Linked DNA regions of Stegostoma tigrinum. The protein of the gene in region 2 purifies or fractionates together with the protein of the main gene of each other region. This does not show direct contact. Links are inferred from orthologs where the notes say so. Each region holds a gene or a part of one and is shown on either strand. Other genes may lie near its edges.

Region 1 (10,806 bases), on a different chromosome or scaffold from region 2:
CTGAGAAAATTATGCATAACATGACTCCTAAGAACACATGAAAATGTATTTAAACATGTTATAATGCTAATTTCTCTCTGTCAGTGGATTGGTTAGATTCATTCATTTTTGCTAAATGTAATGGATTTGAAAGTTAAAAATGAGCACTAACAAATTTGCAGCTGCCATCTGACCCTCTCCCACATGTAGTTTGTAAATGGTCACTGAAGTTTCAAAATTGGCTGTGTCACAAGTGACTAAGGGCAAATTTATCTGCACAGCTTGAGAAATAGCATCCCTGGGGCAAAAGAATTCATAGCATCTTGTTTCCATGTCACTGGCAGCAGACAAACACGACATGGTTCATTCGATGTGTTTTGGGAGATTTGTTCTGCAGAGATCACAGTCGTCATTATCAAACACACTTGTTAAATCAAAGCACTGCAAATGCTGAAGATCTAAAATAAAAGCTGATAATGCTGGAGAAACTCAGCAGGTGTAGCAGTGCCTGTGGAGAAAGAAACAAAATATTTCAAGTCCTTACTTTGGAACTAAGAGAGATGGAAAATGTGATAGGTTTGTGATTTGAGAGCAAATTTACAGAACTGTCGGATATCGCACATGGGCACACGATTTAACTCTGTATCCACTGTAGATATCATTACTGCATGATAAGGCTCACAGGCATCTGACTTTGTACAGTGTACTGACATATACACACTCAAGCTTGCTGAATGCAACCTAGAATAAAACTGCACAGAAAGGGGGACAATCGGCCCATCGTACTCCTGCAAACCCTTTGTATGCACTGTCCAATTTAAGTCCAGGCCTCAGTTTCTTCTCTATAACCTTGTCAATGTGCTTGAATGCATGCTGTATTCACCTCCTGACCCTCTCCAGGGAGGGTCGCCCTCTCTATTAGAGCGCAGAAGGAATGAACGCCTGATAAAACAAGCAGAATTCAGTGAAATTCAAATTGTGCAATCAGCCAATATTCTTCATTTCTACTTGAAGAAATTGTTTAATCAACAGGGGGATAAGGTGCTCCTTAGTTCAGAGAAAGACTTAAAGATAATTACAATTCTAAAAACTAAATCAGGAAAATCCTTCTGTTACAACCCTTGGTGCCAATGCTTGAATGGTCACTAGTAGAACTGTGCCCATAAACTATATTTCCATTTAAGCTCAGAAATGTCTAAAAGACACTGTCAACATTGACAACAATGTATAGAAGTCATGAGCTTTCAATAAACCTTTGCTCTATCATATTCTTATTTGATCACACGATCTTTCTGTGTTATAGTGGAGCAAATAAATCTCTACAGACTATGAGTTCATCTGAAACAGCAGCCTCTACCTGCTGAGAGACAGGGAACACACAAAACAGGAAAGTTCCTGAAAAGGGATAAAATTAACTAAAAGCAATTCAGGAAGGAGTCTCTCGTTAAAAATAAGGAACTTATGAGTTGAATTTGTACATTTAGAAGCATGGAAAATTGAAAAAGGCAGTGAGGTGGATGGATAAAACTCGCAAACACTGAGGAAAGGCTCTTGGTGGAAATTAAATGCAATCCAATACTTTGTTTCATCCTTTTTATCCACTGGAAACATGGCAAGATTTGAGGAAGTCCCAGGGAGAATACAGCCCAGTTCCATTCCAAAGTAAATTCCTAATCAACAAGAGCTGAGTTTGCCTGTTATCCGAGTCACATCTGAAGACATAAGAAGGACAGAGACAAACATAAAAATTAAAACACCCACCTTTCTGTTTAACGGGGAAAATTAAACTGAAAAGGAAAATCCCAAGACTTGCAGACTCTGGAAACAGAAAGTGCCGGAAAAACTCAGCAAGTCTGGCAGCATCTGTGGAGAGAGAGAGACAGGGTTAATGTTTTGGGTCGAGTGACGCCTCATCAGAACTGGACGAAATGCGTTTTTTGCAATATATCTCACCCAGTCTGCGATCTTTGGGAACTTTGCTTTCATGCTGGTTTTGAAGTTGCAATAAAGTTTCCCTTCCTTTATGTCTTCTTTTTGCTTATTGTTCTAAAGGCCTTCTAACATTCAGGAACTTAACAATGCATCTCCACTGTATCATGACACACCTACACACAGTATTAATTTTCTCTGTGCATTTTAATGTTTACAAAGTGCCCTATAATTGTATAGATTGGGTATATAGTCTAGTATATATGATAGAAAATTCAAAACAACTTCCTGTTACAGCACAACTCCAGAACAGATGGGATTTGACTGGGCCTCCTGGCCCAGCAGTAGCGACATTATCACTGTGCCACACAGAGCCCCTGCCATATTTTCTTTTCTATTTCAACCTGTTCAGAGGTGGATGGTATCACGCACCTCTGCAGCAAGCTGGAGTTGAATCCGGGCCAACCAGTCTGGAGGGAGGCATAGTACCACTGTATCGCAACAGGGCCCTTGTTAGAAAGTGATTTTTTTTTACCATGTTCAGAGATGTTATGACACATAACCTAGTCCAGCAATAGGTACACTACCACTGTAGCAAAAGAGGGCCCTCATAACAAAGTGAGAGAACAAGGTGTAGAGCTGGATGAACACAGCAGGTCAAGCAGCATCACAGGAGCAGGAAAGCTGACGTCTTGGGGCTAGACCTCACCACAAAGTGATTTTATTTAACCTGTTCAGAGATGGTACGACTCATCTCTGGAGCAGGTGGGACTCGAAGCAGTGCTACCCAGTGCAAGGGTTGGGCCAGTATTGTACCAGAAGAAGGCCCTCAGGAGAAAGTGATATTTTTAACCCGTTCAGAGATGTAATGGACATTATTACTGCACCAATACAAGAGCCCGCAGGGCAAAATGATTTTTTAACCTGTTCAGAAATGATATAACACCCTCCTGGTCCAGGAGTAGGGGCACTACCATTGCACCATAAGAGGGCCCCTTGTGGCAAAGTGATTTTTTTAACCTTTGCAGAGATGGTCTGACACATCCTCTGGAGTTGGTAGAACGTCAACAAGGATGGGGGGGGGGTCTGGTCCAGGGGCAGGGACACTACCGCTGCACCACTAGGGGGCCCATCATAGCAAAGTGATTTTTTAAACTGTTACAGATGCTCTGACACATCCTCAAGAGGTTGTCAAACATGAGCAAGGATGAGGGGGAGATTGTGGTCTAGGAGAGGAACACTACAGCTGCACCACAACAGGACCCCTCATGGCAAAGTGATCTTTTTTTCAATCTGTTCAGAGATGGTCTGACATACCCTCTAGAGCTGGTGGGACTCCAATAAGGATGGGGGAGGGGAGGGCACTGGTCTATGAGCAGGAACATTACCGCTGTACCACAACAGGTCCGCTCATGATGAGGTGATCTTTTTCCGACCTGTTCAGAGATGGTCTGACACACCCTCTGGAGCTGGTGGAACTCCAACAAGGATGGGGCTGGGGGTGGGTGGTGTTCACTGGTCTAGGACCAGGAACACTACCGCTGCACCACAACAGGACCCCTCATGGTGAAGTGACTTTTTAAAATATGAACCTGATCAGAGACGTTATATCACACACTCCCGGTGTAGGGGCAAGGGGCACTATCACTTGTGCCAGCGGTCTGTGTGTTACTGCTGGGGGTTCGGGAGGTAAGTGTAGCCGGGGAAAGAAGCGCCCTCACTGGCCTCTTCCCCTTTGCTGAGCTTCGGGACCGTCTCGCCCCCGCAGCAGCCGCCGCTACTGTCGCTCCCCCGGGAGCGGCGCTTGATGCCCCGGTTGACCGGGGTGAGACCTCGCTCCTCTTGCCCCGTTCGGACACCAGCGGCCGGCTCCGGCCACAGCGGCGGTCCGCAGTCCGGAGGCTGGTAGCCGGCTTCGGCCGGGTCCAAGGGCTCCTTGGATAGCAGGATGCAGACGGACGGAACGGTCTTGAGCAGGGTGAGGGCACCCGCACTGCCGGCGGTGCTGCTCTGCCAGGTCTCCCGCAGGCTCCTCGGACGGAGCTTGGTGATCTGGTGCAAACCTCCCAGCCTCCGCTTCATTATCTCGGCGCAGGTGATAGTCTTGGTGACCGCCCGGCCCGAACCGCTGAATACTATCCTCCGCGTCCCCTCCAGCTCCATGCGGGCCAGCGCGAAGCCCATCAGGTTGCGGATCTTGCTGCCCTCCTTCACCCGCATCTCCACCGTGTCCGCCGGCAGGTCAGCGAAAGGCAGGGGGCTCTCCTCCTCCGTCCGCCCGATCTTCCGATAGTTTGCCATCTCGCCACTTGCAGCGGAGCCCTGCATCTCTCTTTTGCAAATGTACTCTTAGACCATGCACCAACCCCCTGCCATTACCACTCACACCAAATTCCCAAAGTGTCTGACTTGGTTTTCTGGTTTGGAGTCAGGAAAACCATCCAAGTCCTTTAATTTTGTCCTCTTCGTTTGCAAAAAATACGCAAAATCTTTTCTCTGCTCTTCCTTTGCAAGAAAATTATTTTCGTCGTTTTCCTTTTGCAAAACTGGGCAAAGTCATTTTATTTTCCTCCTGTGCAAAGGCTGACAGTTTTTTTTCGTCGCTGTTTTGCAAAACTAGGCAAGGTTTTTCTTTGCTTTCCTCATTTGCAAAAACTGAAAGACTTTTTCAGTCGTTGATGTTTTGCAAAACTGCAAGATTGTCCCTTTGCAAAACTGGCCAAAATCCTACTATTTTCCTTCCTGTGCAAAAGCTGACAACTTGTTTTGTCGGTGTTTTGCAAAACTGGACTCGTTTGTTTTATTTTCCTCCGTTAGCAAAACTGAACAAAGTCCTTCTCTTTTCCTTCCTGTGCAGAAAACTGACAAGACTTTTTTTTGTCGTTGTTTTGCAAAACTGGGCAAAGTTGTTAATTCATTCCTTCGCAAAGATGGACTGTCTTTTTCTGTTCCTTTGCAAAACGGTGCAAAGGTCGCTTTCTAAACAAAAACTGGCAGCTTCTTTTTGCCGTTGGTTTGCAAAAAAACTGGCCAACGTTTTTTTTAAAGCAACGAACAATTTGGGCGAGATTAGTTTCACTCCATCATGCTCCAGGATAGGGGGGCAGCAACGGATTCAAACAGTCATGCAAGCTCCCTAATGTTTGTGTTTTGTACTTTGCGTCAGCTCCATCCATCAAGCTGCGGCCATCACTTACTTCCCGTTCTCCCCGCGACCCTCGGCTGCTCGTTCCTCAGCGAAATCTCCTCCCTCGACAGCCGGCCTGAGAGTAATCCAGGATGGGGCAATGCCTCCCCATTTCCAACGCGTCTTGTGTTTTAACCACTTTCAATTGCAAGGCGCGGTTAAGAATGGGGCGGGGGGGGGGGGGGGGACCGTTTCTCTCCTGATGCCAAGGCAAAACTGTTTGCAGCATCTGTACTGAACAGGGTGCAATCTCTCTCCCTCACTGTCCCTGTGACGAGATCCTGATTCACGGCGAATGAATGTCATTTATTTAACCCCTTCTGCACCAAGCTCCTCTCTGCGGCGTTTGCCTCATTCTATCTGCAGCACTTTGCGGTCCCAAGCAGTGACTGACAAGTATCTACCCGACAGGAGAAGGCTGTTCTGCCCCTTGACTGTGTGCTAGCTGAGTAAAAAATAAATCCCTCCCAGCAGAATTCCTTTTTTTTTCAAATTAGGGTTTCTGCCGCTATCACCCTTTCAGACAAGAGAGTTCCCTACCGCTCTCTGGGTGAAAAACGTACTGGAATGTAGGATGCTGAGGGGTTTATAAAATCAGGATGGGGTGAATAGCCAAGGTTTTTCCTCCAGGATTGGGGAGTTCAAAACTAGAGGGGCATAGGTTTAAGGTGACAGGGGAAAGATTTAAAAGGGACCCAAGGGGTGACTTTTTCACATAGAGGGTCGTGCATATATGGCATGAACTGCCCGAGGAAGTGATAGAGGCGGGTACAATAATAACATTTAAATAAAGATTGGACAGGTACATGAATAGGCAAGGTATTGAGGGATTATGGGCCGATGGGACTAGTTTATTTTGGGAAAACTGGTCAGCATGGACATGTTGGACCAAAGGGTCCCTTTCCGGTGCTGTATGACTCTAAGACTGTGTACTCATCAACTCCTCTCCGTCCTTCTTCCAATTACTTTAACCTGTGGATATTATTCATGGACACTATATTATGTGTGTTTTCAACATACTGAATGGATATCATGTGATATACATAGTAGATCATCCTCCTTCATCCTGACTTAGAAATATATCACTGCTCCTTCACTATTACTGAGTCAAAATCTTCCTAACAGCATAGTGGTGTGAAAGCAACACACCACCGTCTTCTGGAAGGCAGTTAGGGATAGGCAATAATGCTGGACCAGCTAGATCCACAAAGAACTAAAACAAAAACAGCAATGACAAGTAAATGGAATGGAGGTACAAAAGGCAACCCATTAAGCAGAATGTTAAATGCACAACATGGCCAATATTGAAATACGGCCACAATAAAACCTGAAAGAACTGCAGTAAATCAGAAACAAAAACAGAAGTTGCTGGAAAGGCTCAGCAGGTCTGGCAGCGTCTGTGGAGAGAAGTCAGAGTTAACGTTTCAGGTTGAGTGACCCTTTCTCAGTTCTGAACTATATGGGCTTTCCTTCACTATTACTGGGTCAAAAGCCTAATCAATATGGACAGTAGTAGATCGAGGAAGTGGCAGCTGAAATATAGAGGACACTTGCCTCAGAGAACAAGCTAGGAGGGCTGTTACACAGCTCTCACCAAAGAATGGACTCCCCTATTGTTTCCATCTATCCATAGAAGCATTTACAGGCTCATACCTGACCTGTTTGATCATTAGATACCCATTGACTATGGCCCCCAGGCCCTGGGGTGGAACTTGAACTGAGACCATTCATCTCAAAGAGCAGTACTAATACCCACTATACCACAAGAGCTCCTGCAGAAAATAATGCACCAGTACCTTTTGAGGGCAATTAGCAATGAGCACCAAATGTTAATGTCACCAGCAACACCGACATTGCATGAATAAATAAAAAGAAAATAAATTTAGGGTTCATCTACCATTTGGGCAACAATGCTGAAATGAGTCTGTGCCAAACTTTTACTTCAAGCATCTTGCAAGCAGGAAAAAAACAATGAAAATCAAATCACATTTGCTGGTTTTGAAAGCTTGAGGAACGGAGATGGTGCACTACCTCTTTTGAAGTCTCCATTGTCGATGAATGAGGATTTCTTTCATTTTCTGTATTGGCATATTATAAGCTTTTCAATTTGGGATTCAGCGTGCAAATATCAATTGACCTCTGAGAAATCCTGAAAATGTCAACGATTTTACAGGAAACTCCTCATAAATACCCCCACGCTCTCAATGCACTGGGCAACCTTCCCATATTCGGTTGTACTCTCGACTCTGAGCCAGAATCATAACTCCAGCTGCAGGAGTTCTGCATTACCAAAGGTGTCACCTTTCAGATCAGATATGAAACCAAGGCTTTTTCTGCGCTCTCAGCTCAGTTGTAAACATCTTGTGGCTCGTTTTGAACAGCCAGAGAGTACTGTCCTGTGACCGGGCCAACAAACACCAGAGGTGTGGATTAGTTGGTGATTATTTAATTGCTTCACATGGGTGCATGCTGTGTGCAAGTAGACTGCCCGATACTTCCCTACATAACGATTACTACAATTCTAATAACATTTAATTGACTGTAAAGGACTTTGTTCATTCTGAGACTGTGAAAGGTGCTATGTAACTGCAAGTTATTTCTTTTTTGTTTTCTCAAGATGTCCCCAGACATAAAACATTCCCAGAAAAACATCACCTGAAAAGATGCTCAGAGATAGTAGGAACTGCCGATGCTGGAGTCTGAGATAACAAGGTGTGGAGCTGGATGAACACAGCAGGCCAAGTAGCATCAGAGGAGCAGGGAAGCTGATATTTCAGGTCTGGGCCCTTCTTCAGAAATGGGGAGGGGAAGGGGGTTCTGAAATAAATAAAGACGGCGGGGGGTCGATGATAGAAGGTGGATAGAGGAGCAGATAGTTGGAGAGAAGACGGACAGGTCAAGGAGGTGGGGGTGAAGACAGTAAAGGTGAGTCTAGGTAGGAAGTTGGGACGGGGGTTGGTCGGTGAGGTGGGAGGGGCAGGTAGGTGGGAGAGAAGATGGACACGTCAATGAGTCGGGAACGAGATGGGCTGGTCTTGGGATGAGGTTGGGGGTGAGGAGATTTTGAAACTTGTAAGGTGGATTTTACAAGCTTCAAAAACTTCCCACCCCCGACCTCATCCCAAGCCCAGCCCATCTCGTCCCTGACTCCTTGACGTGTCCACCTCCTCTCCCACCCTATCCACTCCACTCTCTATTTATTTCAGGGTCCCCTACCCCTCCCCCATTTCTGAAGGAGAGTCCAGACCACAAACATGAGCATTCCTGCTCCTCTGATGCTGCCTGGCCTGCTGTGTTCATCCAGCTCCACACTGTGTTCTCTCAGACTCCAGCATCAGCAGTTCTTACTGTTTCTCTTGGCTAGGAGATTGGCAAGGTCTGGAACACATTTGGAATGTATGTTGGAATATTGTCAGGATCTATAGCCTTTCCAGTAGCCATAGACTTCAGCCATTTCTCGATATCATGTGAAGGAAATTTGGTTGATGCTGGGACCACTGGAGGTGGATGGGATGGCTTGGCACTTCTAGCTTGTTGCAAGTGTTGTAGCTTATCTTTTGCACTGATGTTCCAGGGTCCCATATTATGGAGAATGGGGATAATTGTGTAGCCTCCTGCTCTAGTGCGTTGTTTAATTGCCCATCTCCATTTGTAGCTGGGTGTGGCATGACAGCAGATCTTAAATCTGATTTATTAGTTACTGAATCACTTCACTCTGTTTGTCACTTGCTGCCTATACTGTTTGGTACACCAATAGTCCTGTAGCATCACCAGATTGATATTTCATTTCCTGATAAAGACTTGAAATGCTTTTTTCTCTCAGATGCTGCCAGACCTATCGGAGTTTCTGCAGTAATTTCTATTTCTGTGATACCTCATTTTAGCACCTCTGCTTAGTGCTGCTCCTCTTACGCCCTCCTGCACTCTTCATTGAGCCCTTGCAATATGCAATGCCTTCAGCTGCTTCTTGATATCACATGGAGTAGTATCTGTGATGCTCAGGACCTCTGGAAGAGCTCGAGATGCATTACTCTCTTGGCACTGCTGACTGAAGATGTTTGCAAACGCTTCAGCCTTATTTTCTGCATTGTTGTGTTGGGCTCTCCTATCATTGATGATGGGAATATTTATGATGTCTTCTCCTTCTGTTAATTGACCACCACTGCTCACAACTGAAATGACGGGACTGCAGATCTAAGATCTAATCAGTTGTTTATGGATGTGCACAGTTCTGTCTGTCACTTGCTTCCTTCTACATGTAGCCCTGACTTGTATCTTCACCAGGCTGATACTGTAGTGATTGTAACAACGTCAGCCAGGTTGACCTTCATAGAGCATGAGTTCTCTGACTGGGGCTGTTAATTTCAGGGGGGCAATGGCCTAGTGGCATTATTGCTCGACTGTTAATCCAGAGACCCAGATAATATTCTGGGGATGCAAGCTCAAATCCTTCCATGGCAGATGGTGGAATTTAAATTCAATAGACATTTGGAATTAAGAATCTAATGATGACCATGAATCCATTGTCGATTGTCGGGAAAAACACATCTTTCCTTCCCTAAAGTATTCTTTAGGGAAGGAAACTGCCATCCTTACCTGATCTGGCCTACATGTGACTCCAGACCCACAGCAATGTGGTTGACTCTGAACTGCCCTCTAAGCAATTAGGGATGGGCAATAAATGCTGCCTAGCCAGCAACACCCTCATCCCATGAATGAATAAGGAGAAGAAAAGATCTGGTCCAACCTGGCTGACAGATATAAACAGGAATGTCAGACATCTTGCTCACCCTGAGAGTTGGCTCTGAGGAAGCTGGATCAGTGTCAAGGGCTCTTCATGTGTAAATAAAGGGCATCTTGGTGATGCCATTCCAGCCTCTGTGGAGTCACTTCAATACTGTACGTTTAGATATACTGAAGGTTTTCTCCCCGATATGCCCCCCGAACTCTTCATTGAACCATGGTTGATCTTCTGGCTTGACGGCAATGGTAGAGTGAGGCATAAGTAGGTTACTGAGGACACACAAGGTGAGCTTGAATATAATCCTGCTGCCGCTGATGGTCTACAGTGCCTTATGGAAGCCCAGTTTTGAGTTTCTCGATCTATTTAAAATCTATCCCATTTAACATGATAGTAGTGCCAGACAATACAATGTGGGGTGCCCTCATTGTGAAGATGTGACTTCATCTCCCCAAAGACTTTGTGGTCATCAGTCCTACAAATTCTGACATGGACAAATGCCCATGTAACGGATAGATTGGTGAGACTGAGATTGAGTAGATTTTTGTCGGTTCCCTCACTACCTGCCACATGTCTGGTATAGCATCATTGTCCTGTAGGACACAGCCATCTCTGTATGTATTGTTCCTGTCAAGCCACTCTTGGTACTGAACATTGAAGTTCTTTACCCAGAACATGTTCTGTGACCCTGCCACCAATAGTACCTCCTCCAGATAGTGCTCAATATGGGGGAGAGCTGATTCATTGGATGAATGGTGGTGTACCAAACTCTCTGATTGGTCTGTGCTGAAGGTGGAACAGATCATACTGAGGGGTAGTGATGGCACTGCCTGGGACATTGTAAGGTATGATTCGCTGAGGGTGATGCCAGACTGTTGCTTGATTTGTCTGTGGGACAGCTTTCCCAGTTTTGGCACTGGGGACATTACAGGATGAACAGGGTTAGGTTTTCTATTGTAATTTCTGGTGC
Region 2 (11,120 bases):
ATTTAAAACGTATTCTTTTTGGCCCTTGCTCCTTTTACATGTAATTTCTCCCTGTACAGCCACCCAGATTCCTTGTGACTTTGAAAACGTCAACCAGATCTCTCCAGATTAGATTAGATTCCCTACAGTGTGGAAACAGGCCCTTCGGCCCAGCAAGTCCACCCCCCCCGCCTTGGAGCATCCCACCCAGACCCATCCCCCTATAATCCACACCCCCCACCGAACACTACGGGCAATTTAGCATGGCCATTCCATCTAGCCTGCACATCTTTGGACTGTGGGAGGAAACTGGAGCACCCGGAGGAAATCCACACAGACACAGGGAGAACGTGCAAACTCCGCACAGACAGTCACCCGAGGCTGAAATCGAACCCGGGTCCCTGGCGCTGTGAGGCTGCAGCGCTAACCACTGAGCCACCGTGCCACTCCATCTCTTCTTCACCTACTCCATTCCAAAGAAAGCAGTCCCAACTTCACCTAGTGTTTTCCTCAAGTGAAGGACCTCATCACTGGAAAAGATCATAAACCTCTTCTGCACAATGTAGATGATCACTATGATCCAACTGAATAGCGGACCAGGTTCGATGGGCTGAATGACCTACTCCCATGTTCCCATTCAGATGTTCAGGGTGAGAATGGCTAACGGCCCTAATAGCATTGCTAAACGAGGGGAGAAGGGGAAGACTGCATTGCAGGCTTAAAAGTATACGCTCAAATCAGGACATGTGGCTAGATGAGAATACAACAGATGATGAAGTAAAGTAACAAGGATCTACAGATACCACATACTTTATCAACATGAATTGTTTGGTCTTTTTATTTTCACTATAAAGCAAGTAAACACTGATTAAAAAAGAACAGACTATGCAAACACTTTGTACCTTGAAAACTTGTAAAACTCGGTGATTCAGATGGTCCCATTCCAGATCTGCCAGCCCCTTGGTTGGATGAGGAAAAGGTGATATTGCTTGGCTGGTTTCTCATCAACTTGGCATACTTCTTTTCCTTCCGATTGACTCCAGACATGGCTTTGCAAAGACAATATAATTAACACACTATCATAACAAAATATGTACTAAAATATCTGAAAGATCGCTTTACCTGCGGACAAACAGTCATCAGGGAAGAAAATCTACTGCCCCTTTTAAGGAAGTTGGGGGATGGCTTGGTGTTGGGGGCTGTATGATTCAAATTTTATTCCAAAGAGTTCAATTCTTAAAATAATTTGTAGAAGTAGCCTAGCGATTCATTTATTAATTAATGGGCTGTAATGTGACAGCCCATCATCACTACCTTTCCAGAGCAATGCAGACGGCAAATAAAGGCCAGTCCAAGAACAACAAAATTGATCTAAACATATATTAGAACTTACTGTTTGGTATATAGAAAATAAACATTCTTGTCACATTAGAGATACGAGGTTGACCATTGTACTATGATTCACCATGCAAACAAAAATATTTGAAACTATCCAGTATTGATAAGTTTGTATATCTTTAAAGTTGTTCAATTCCTTACCACATTATGATTGCAACTCAATATCCTTAAGACAAACTAATGGACATCATGCTGAAGTTAAACACATTTTAAGAATTTTTAGTAAAATAATTTAGTAAGATCAAACCACACAAAATAACAAATTGGCTCTCTGCTCTTGCTTTATTCATAGGAACTGGATGAGGCCACTAAGCTGCTCAAAACCTGTACTTCAATATTATGAGACATTAGCTATCACTTTCCATACAGGCCACCAATCATTATGATGTATTCTGTGGGTTTCACATTTACAGTTTTTAATGTTATTGGCTGCTGTGCTCCCAGATGATGTTAGACTGAACAAGTCAGATCCCAGACAAGAACCTTGCTTCATAGAATTGTATTGGTATTGGCAAAGTGACCTCCCAATGTTGCATAAGCATAAAATAATACAGATTTTGCTTCAACAAAATGGAAGTTTATTACAACAGGAACAAGGACAAAATTGAATAATCCAAACTATCTAACTAAAAAATATAAATTTAAAGATTTTAAATTCACACTCAAAGCATAATTCTATTAAACCTAAATTGCCCCTTTATAAATTGAATATAAACAAAACAGCTTTCACATAGTATCCATAACAAATCCCTGGTACAGTTTCCAAAACATCACTCATATAAAACTCACACTAGAGTCCCTGGATCTATACTTTGGTAAGTTTATGCCAATTGCGACTTCAACTTTTAAACAGAAACTGCAATAGCTTCTTCTTGGAGCTACCACATACCTGACTTTCACCTTATTCAGTTGTAAGTAACACCTTAGGTAATTTCTGTTCTGGGACTGAAACCAATTCTTGGCTTGAAGGTAATTTTTATTATTATATCTACCATTCCCTTCTCTGGTGTACTGCCATCCTACTCTAAAGACTTCACAGGACTAATGCTACCCCAAAGTCAAAAGTAAAACTAAAACTCTATCACACAATGTTTTTCTCAAGCTGAGAGAACACACATTCCAGAACTAACAAACATTTGAGGACCAAGATAACCAGGTTCAGACTGGGGACTAGATTTTGTGCAGGAGTTCAGTGGACTTTAGATTGTTTTACAATCCAAATAAAAGTCTATTAGTACATTAAATCTACTCACTCTATAGCTTCAAAACCTGTTCTTTAAAATAAATAATGATTGCACAAATAGTTATAAGTTAATAACCTGGCGACATGTGATTTCTGGCCCCATTCCCTGTATGAAAGGGAGCGGAATTACTGAAGTTCAACAGCACAGCAATGCCTATATTCTGAGCACTCTTTTTGCCCTAGTTGCTGCTAAATATCTTGCAAGAAAATTGACATGATTTGAACGGTTGAGAGTTATCAATATAATGCAATATATAATTCTCCAATATGTGAACTAAAAGGAATCAAAATAAGGGAGGAAAATTTGTTTGGCTAAATTCCATTTGCTAATGATAACCAAGAATAAAGAAATGTTTTGACCCAATTAAAATGAGTCTGATAAACCCTTCTCTTTTCACCTGCAACCGTACCCACGATCTCTTTTACTGCATTGCATCACTTCAGCAGCCTCACAAAAAAGCTATTTAATTTTCGATTCGTTTAAGTCAGAAAAACATTGTTGGACAAAATACTAAGTTTGAGTTTGATTTATTGTTGTCACAAATATGGTGGATTTGAAGAAAACCCTCCAGTATGTACATAGATAAATACTTAAACAGATCTGAAATTGGACTTTTTTCATTACTTTATCAGTATTCACTATTTTATCCCCTGACAACCATAAGATGGCACAACGTATAAAACTGCAGGCATTCAAAAACTTACATTTACATATCAACTTTCATGACATCAGAATGTCACAAAGTGCTTTGAATAGGAAAAATATTTTTTTGAAGTATATTCATTTTTTATGATGGAAAACACAGTAGCTAACTTACACATGAAAAAACCCAACTCTCCAAGCAATAAACTGATTGTTCTAAGGGTGTTTACTAAGGGATAAAAAATATTGGCAGGATAGCAAAGAGAATTCAAGGTTCATTCACATCCAGAGGTGACAAATACAGCCTCAAAACAATGCCTCATCTTTACAATTAACTGGATAACAGAAAATTTGCTACCATTTTTGGACACAGAAACCTAGAAACCAACAGCAGACGTTGGCTAGTTGGCCCTTCTTTCCTGCTCTGCCATTGAACACGAACACACTTCCTCTACCTCAAAAAGATATCCCTACTTTCTCCTCATTAGCCTTGATGCCTTTGAAATCTAAAAAAAAGTTAACATGTTTTCTGAACATATTCAATGTGCCTTCTGAGGTAGCAAGTCCCACAGGTTCACTACCCTTCGAGTCAAGAGATTTTTTTTTCATTTCAGACTTAAAGGGCCTGCCCTGCATCATGAGACAGTGATGACTGGTTCTATATCCCAAAGCAGGGGAAAACATCCTCTCAAGACCTAGACGATCCAGCTCTTTTGGATTTTTATACATTTCAATTAGATCCCTTCTCATTCTTTTAAACTCTACATCCAGGCAAATCAAGCTCTCCTCTTTCGGCCAGTCTGCCATTCCTAAAATTAATTTAATAAAATGTGAGGCTGGATGAACACAGCAGGCCAAGCAGCATCTCAGGAGCACAAAAGCTGACGTTTCGGGCCTAGACCCTTCATCAGAGAGGGGGATGGGGGGAGGGAACTGGAATAAATAGGGAGAGAGGGGGAGGCGGACCGAAGATGGAGAGCAAAGATGCTCTCCATCTTCGGTCCGCCTCCCCCTCTCTCCCTATTTATTCCAGTTCCCTCCCCCCATCCCCCTCTCTGATGAAGGGTCTAGGCCCGAAACGTCAGCTTTTGTGCTCCTGAGATGCTGCTTGGCCTGCTGTGTTCATCCAGCCTCACATTTTATTATCTTGGAATCTCCAGCATCTGCAGTTCCCATTATCTCTAAAATTAATTTACTCTATTTTTGTTTAGCCTCGTTGTTTCTCATATTTTAGTCCCAATTATGCACCTAATCCTACCCCAAATACTTGGACTTATATTGGCCTTCCTCACCTCTAAAAGGGAAACCACAGTCAGGCATCAGCTTAGGTTTGCGGCATCTTGCAACATTCAGTCTTCTAAGGTGACACGTGATTAAGGGGCAGCCGGATGCGCATGACAGGTGCGCCCACACCGAACATGCGTGAAGGCATCAGTACGCGCAATGCGTCAGGAGTGACAAGCAAACTGTATTATGACCATCTTGCCGCTACACCGTTAACGTGATCTTATTTTGCGAAGAGAATATCTTCGGATTACAATAACATACCGAGGATCTAGGCTGTCTTCAGACGAAATTTTTTTGGGTCGTGTCCACAGCAGCCGGTCACTCCCGCATCCCGAACTCCGACCAACGGTCCCGCACGTGAACCTCTTCTGCGGCGGCTGCGCATCCAATGGCATTCTGGGAGATGTGTCCAGTCCGGGACTACAAAGCCCGTGCTGCAGCGCGGGCTGGCTGCCGCATGCGCAGTGCTTGCTGGAACGTTGCTCAGACATGATGGCAGCGTTAGTGAGGAGGGTGATCAGCACTAGCAAGGCACCGGGGGCAATTGGTCCCTACAGGTAATCTCCCAAGAACGATGGAGTAAGATTATCCCCTTTAATTTTGAAGCGGTGTTGGAGATTGACAGCTTGTGTAAGGCATTCAAGAGGGCGCTGAATGATTATTTGCATAGCAATGGTGTGCAAGATATGGGGGGTGGAAGGCAGGAGATTGGGACCTGGTAATGATGCTCGTTTTGAAGAGCCCGTACGGCCTTGACGGACCGAATGGCCTCCTGCGCTATAACAGTTTTGTGTTTCGGTAAACACATGGTACTGCTGTCTTTCAACGGTAGTTTCTTTTTAAAACCAAAGCTCTTGCATTATGACACCTTTTGGAAGTACTTAATTGGTGATACAACACCTTTTTTGGGAGCTGAAGAAAGGAGCGAGGTAACTGCACAGTCTAACTTTAGGACAAGTAGTTTTAAGCGGCTGCTGCACAAGGCAAGATAATAAAATGTGAGGGTGGATGAACACAGTAGGCCAAGCAGCATCTCAGGAGCACCTGAGGTGCTCACCAGCCTCACATTTTATTATCTTGGAATTCTCCAGCATCTGCAGTTCCCATTATTGCTGCACAAGGCAAAGTCCTTTTGAAGTGTTATTACACCTCCCCTCTGATCATATAACTGTTTAAACACTGTGACAGAAGGGGGAAACTACCATATATTCTAAAAGGGTCTCTAGGTTGAAATGTTTTTACTTTTCTATTCAACTTGCAATGAACAGAAATGTGCTCCAGACCCTATCAAGCAATGGGACATATTTGATGCCACCATTGTAAGACCAGATTCACAGCTGCTAATTAATGCATAGCAAACTCTTGAATAGCACTGAGATTTTTGCATTTATTATCATCCAACTGTAGATCAGCCAATTTGTGCCTGAATTTTGTAATCTTAGCACAGTACTGTGTAACTTTTTAATACTCAGAGAGGAGTTGTGTGTTCCAAATTTTGATTACCTAGTTTATTAGCCAGTCAAATCGAAGAACCATTAGTGAGACCATGCAGCCTGAAGCAGAATGTGAATAGGAATAACGCAAAGTAAAATCAGTCACAGGAAGTGACTGAGAGGGGGAAATGGCATTCAGCAGGACAAGGCTTTTTTTTAAAAAAAAAGCTAAATAAATTCAGCAGAGAAAATGAAAATCACTTCTAACATGTGAAAATGAAGTTTGATTTCGATTAAAATGGTCATAGGCAGTACAAGAAAATGTGTGCCATGATTCTTGGCAGCAGTATTGTTTTGACAATAGTACGTTCCAAAGGTCACTTTCTTGCTGTAATATTAATCTGATACTGAAAGCCTGAAGCGAGGAAAAAATCGACGATGGCTACAAAACTGGTTTATGTCTATACTCCCAAAGCTCCGATTAGACTTGGAGTTTACAGGTACCATAGGAAGCCATAAGATTAAGTTATTGGGTTTATAGTGAACTAATCACTCCTCTTTAATGAGTGAACAGCCCTGTGCTCAGATGGGACAATGGTAACTCGACCTTTATCTGGCGATTACCGTTTTCTTTAGTGTAATGTTGGAGTGGTCTGCTGTTTAATTTCTACAGTACTGCGGGTTCTGCGCATGCTGTTTTTTGAATTGAACTGAATTAACTTTATTGTCACATACTCAATGAAAAGTTCACATGTTGGCACTCGAAGTGGCGACAGTGTTGGTATAAATGTACCTGGGTACAGCTTCTTTAGGTACAAGATTTTAAGCAATAGAGAAGTAAAATGTCCAGCATTGCAGAAAAAAGTTAAGAACAACAAACCACATGCACCTAGTTTCCACTCTGCACCGAGCCCTGGTTCTGCCTCGCTCTGGGTTTAGCCTCTAGGATAACGAAGCTGGGAGACTGCCGCGCTGGGCTGGGGGCACGCCATTCTTGGAGGCCGCCCTAGGTGTTCACTACAATAGACTGATGAAGTTGCCGCACCGTGCCGGGAGGTATCTACACCAGGCCACAGGTTGTCGGAATTCGGGAGTCACTGGAGGCTGGGATTTGTCGAGGGCCGGCAGAGAAAAAGTAAAAGAAACGCTAAGAGTAGGTGAGGGAAGAACGGGTGGAACAGACGAGCTCCGGCTGGATCATCCTACTCCACTGCCATATCTTTTATTACCTGTCACAGGATGTGGGCATTGCCAGCTCGGTCAGCATTTCTTTTCTCTTCCATTCCTGATTGCCCTTGTGTGGTATTCCTGTCTAAGCCACTGCAATCCTTTGGGTGTAGGTGTTTGTTAGGGATGGAGAACTGATCAGTTTGTATAGAACATAGAACATAGAACAGTACAGCACAGAACAGGCCCTTCAGCCCACAATGTTGTGCCGACCATTGATCCTCATGTATGCACCCTCAAATTTCTGTGACCATATACATGTCCAGCAGTCTCTTAAATGACCCCAATGACCTTGCTTCCACAACTGCTGCTGGCAACGCATTCCATGCTCTCTCAACTCTCTGCGTAAAGAACCTGCCTCTGACATCCCCTCTATACTTTCCACCAACCAGCTTAAAACTATGACCCCTCGTGCTAGCCATTTCTGCCCTGGGAAATAGTCTCTGGCTATCAACTCTATCTATGCCTCTCATTATCTTGTATACCTCAATTAGGTCCCCTCTCCTCCTCCTTTTCTCCAATGAAAAGAGACTGAGCTCAGTCAACCTCTCTTCATAAGATAAGCCCTCCAGTCCAGGCAGCATCCTGGTAAACCTCCTCTGAACCCTCTCCAAAGCATCCACATCTTTCCTATAATAGGGCGCCCAGAACTGGACGCAGTATTCCAAGTGCGGTCTAACCAAAGTTTTATAGAGCTGCAACAAGATCTCACGACTCTTAAACTCAATCCCCCTGTTAATGAAAGCCAAAACACCATATGCTTTCTGAACAACCCTGTCCACTTGGGTGGCCATTTTAAGGGATCTATGTATCTGCACACCAAGATCCCTCTGTTCCTCCACGCTGCCAAGAATCCTATCCTTAATCCTGTACTCAGCTTTCAAATTCGACCTTCCAAAATGCATCACTTCGCATTTATCCAGGTTGAACTCCATCTGCCACCTCTCAGCCCATCTCTGCATCCTGTCAATGTCCCACTGCAGCCTACAACAGCCCTCTACACTGTCAACGACACCTCCGACCTTTGTGTCGTCTGCAAACTTGCTGACCCATCCTTCAATTCCCTCGTCCAAGTCATTAATAAAAATTACAAACAGTAGAGGCCCAAGGACAGAGCCCTGTGGAACTCCACTCACCACTGACTTCCAGGCAGAATATTTTCCTTCTACTACCACTCGCTGTCTTCTGTTGGCCAGCCAATTCTGTATCCAAGCAGCTAAGTTCCCCTGTATCCCATTCCTCCTGACCTTCTGAATGAGCCTACCATGGGGAACCTTATCAAATGCCTTACTGAAGTCCATATACACCACATCCACAGCTCGACCCTCATCAACCTTTCTAGTCACATCCTCAAAAAACTCTAAGGTTTGTAAGGCATGACCTACCCCTCACAAAGCCGTGTTGACTGTATTTGATCAAGCCATGCTCTTCCAGATGGTCATAAATCTTATCCCTCAGAATCCTTTCTAACACCTTGCAGACGACAGACGTGAGACTTACCGGTCTATAATTGCCGGGGATTTCCCTATTTCCTTTCTTGAAGAGAGGAATTACATTTGCCTCTCTCCAGTCCTCAGGTACGACTCCAGTGGAGAGCGAGGATGCAAAGATCTTCGCAAGTGGCGAAGCAATTGCATTTCTCGCTTCCCAAAGCAGCCGAGGACAAATCTGATCCGGGCCTGGCGACTTGTCAATCTTAATGTTTGACAAAATTTTCAGCACATCAGCTTCGTCTATCTCTATCCATTCCAGCATGCACACCTGCTCTTCAAAGGTTTCATTCACTACAAAGTTCGTTTCTTTCGTAAAGACAGAAGCAAAAAACTCATTTAGGGCTTCCCCTACCTCCTCAGGCTCCACACACAAGTTCCCTATGCTATCCCTGATCGGCCCTACTCTTTCTTTGACCATTCTCTTATTCCTCACGTAAGTGTAAAATGCCTTTGTGTTCTCTCTAATCCGTTCTGCCAAGCCTTTCTCGTGCCCCCTCCTGGCTCTCCTCAGACCATTTTTGAGCTCCTTCCTTGCCTGCATGTAATCCTCTCTAGCTGAACTTGACCCTACCTTCGTCCACCTTATGTAAGCTACCTTCTTCCTTTTCACTAGAAGCTCCACCGCTCTCGTCATCCAAGGTTCGTGGTAAATTTTCTGTATTTTAGATTTTGGACTGAAATGGGAAAATGTTTTTAATTTATAAGTCGGAGAATGGGTATAATTTGTGAACCAGTCGTTCTGTGCATCCTGCAACGAACTGAAAAGTACAGGAAGAGAGATTGGAAAAATAGCAAGTCTTGCCAAGTGAAAAGATCATCTCAGCAAACCCTGTGGAAAAGGGGCCATTGAACTGATCTGGTGTGTCTGATGCAATCATGGCAGCATGGTCACAGTATTAATCCCTGATTTTGCAAACACTTACACTTGTTCAAATCATTTTATCTTTAATGCATTCATCAGGTGTAGGTGTTAGCTGGGCTAGTTTTTATTACCCACCCTAGTTGGCACTTGAATTGACTGGCTTGCTAGGCCATTTCAGAGGGCAGTTAAGAGCAACCACCTTGCTGTGACAGGAGGTATCCTTCTCTAAAGAATATTTGAACTAGATTTCTGTGGAAAGCAATCAATGATAGTTACATGATTGCCATTAGTTGCCCTTGGGAAGCAGAGGCCTTCTCGTATTATTCTATGGTGTGCTTTATGAACACATCCACTTTTTTGTTTTGCAGCCAAGCAGTGGTTGTGGATCGCACCATGTACATTTCTGGTCAGCTGGGGTTGGATCCTGCAACTGGCCAGCTTGTAACTGGAGGAACAGCACAGGAAGCAAAGCAAGTAATATCTAAACTTCATTAACAACAAAATCCCTGGCACACTCTCGGAATACTACAGCACCTATGGTGGTGTATGATATTAGATTGGATTCCCAACAGTGTGGAAACAGGCCCTTTTTTGGCCAAACAAATCCACACTGCCCTTTACAGCATCCCACCCAGACCCATCCCCCTATAACCCACACACCCCTGAACACTATGGGCAATTTAGCATGGCCAAGCCACCTAGCCTGCCCATCTTTGGACTGTGGCAGGAAAGCGGAGCACCTGGAGGAAACCCACACAGACACAGGGAGAATGTGGAAACTCCACACAGACAGTTACCTGAGGCTAATTTTTAAACCCGGGTGCCTGGTGCTGTGAGGCTGCAGTGCTAACCACTGAGCCACCGTGCCGCCCTAAATGAGGTCTAGCAAGTTTTTGCTTGCTCCTTCAACGAACAAATCAGTTAGTTCCATTTTTTCCAGCTATTTTTCTGCAATTTTTTTCTCCACATATTTATCCATTGCCATTTTGAAAGCCATGATTAAATCTGTATGCACCAATAATGCACGGCAGACCGTAACCACTTGTTACTCAAACATTTTACCTCATGTCACCTCTGGTCTTTGCAATCACCAGAAATCTGTGCCCCCTGGTTATTGCTGCTTCAGTCATCATAAACCATTTCTCTTTATTTACTGGCACTAGACCCTTCACCTTAAATACCTCTATCAAATCTCCTCTAACCAACCCTAGTTTCTCCTGTCTTTCTGCATAAGTGATCACTCATACCATTCTTACAAATTTCTTCTCTACTCGGCTCAAAGCCTTCTCTTCCTTCCCAAAGCCCAAATTATGCACAACACAACATTCATATATAAATGTATAATAGCTCTGACTGCTTTTTATTGAATCATAGAATCCCCACGCCACAGAAGGCCCATCAAGTCATTCATTGTTGAATCATCTCAGAGCTTTAATTTTGTAAACATCCCACTTCCCATATTTTCCATTCTTTGGTTTTAATTGTATAAAATAATTTTTTGACCATGTTCTCCCCCTGACTCGTGGTTTCTGAGGATTTCACAATGAATGGTTCC

Evidence for each region. Proteins that work in one complex are often made in the same cells at the same time.
Region 1: the proteins of pop1 (region 2) and ribonuclease P protein subunit p25-like protein purify together in Homo sapiens (affinity purification with mass spectrometry; 3 studies listed by BioGRID and IntAct, counting the BioPlex papers as one, with this or other methods). This does not show direct contact. The link is inferred for Stegostoma tigrinum from reciprocal best matches to the Homo sapiens genes POP1 and RPP25.

The regions. Positions count from the first base shown.
Region 1 is NC_081389.1:16,611,009-16,621,814, forward strand, and holds the start of ribonuclease P protein subunit p25-like protein, read right to left. Parts: upstream 5,260-10,806; 5' UTR 4,237-5,259; coding exon 3,577-4,236; 3' UTR 1,933-3,576; exon of another isoform or gene 1,843-1,932; 3' UTR 1-1,842. UniProt on the Homo sapiens protein: Component of ribonuclease P, a ribonucleoprotein complex that generates mature tRNA molecules by cleaving their 5'-ends. Also a component of the MRP ribonuclease complex, which cleaves pre-rRNA sequences.
Region 2 is NC_081358.1:122,561,963-122,573,082, forward strand, and holds the start of pop1 (ribonucleases P/MRP protein subunit POP1), read right to left. Parts: upstream 4,718-11,120; 5' UTR 4,584-4,717; coding exon 4,556-4,583; intron 1,029-4,555; coding exon 882-1,028; intron 1-881. Other genes in the region: rida (2-iminobutanoate/2-iminopropanoate deaminase), read left to right, coding at 5,040-5,107, 9,934-10,039. UniProt on the Homo sapiens protein: Component of ribonuclease P, a ribonucleoprotein complex that generates mature tRNA molecules by cleaving their 5'-ends. Also a component of the MRP ribonuclease complex, which cleaves pre-rRNA sequences.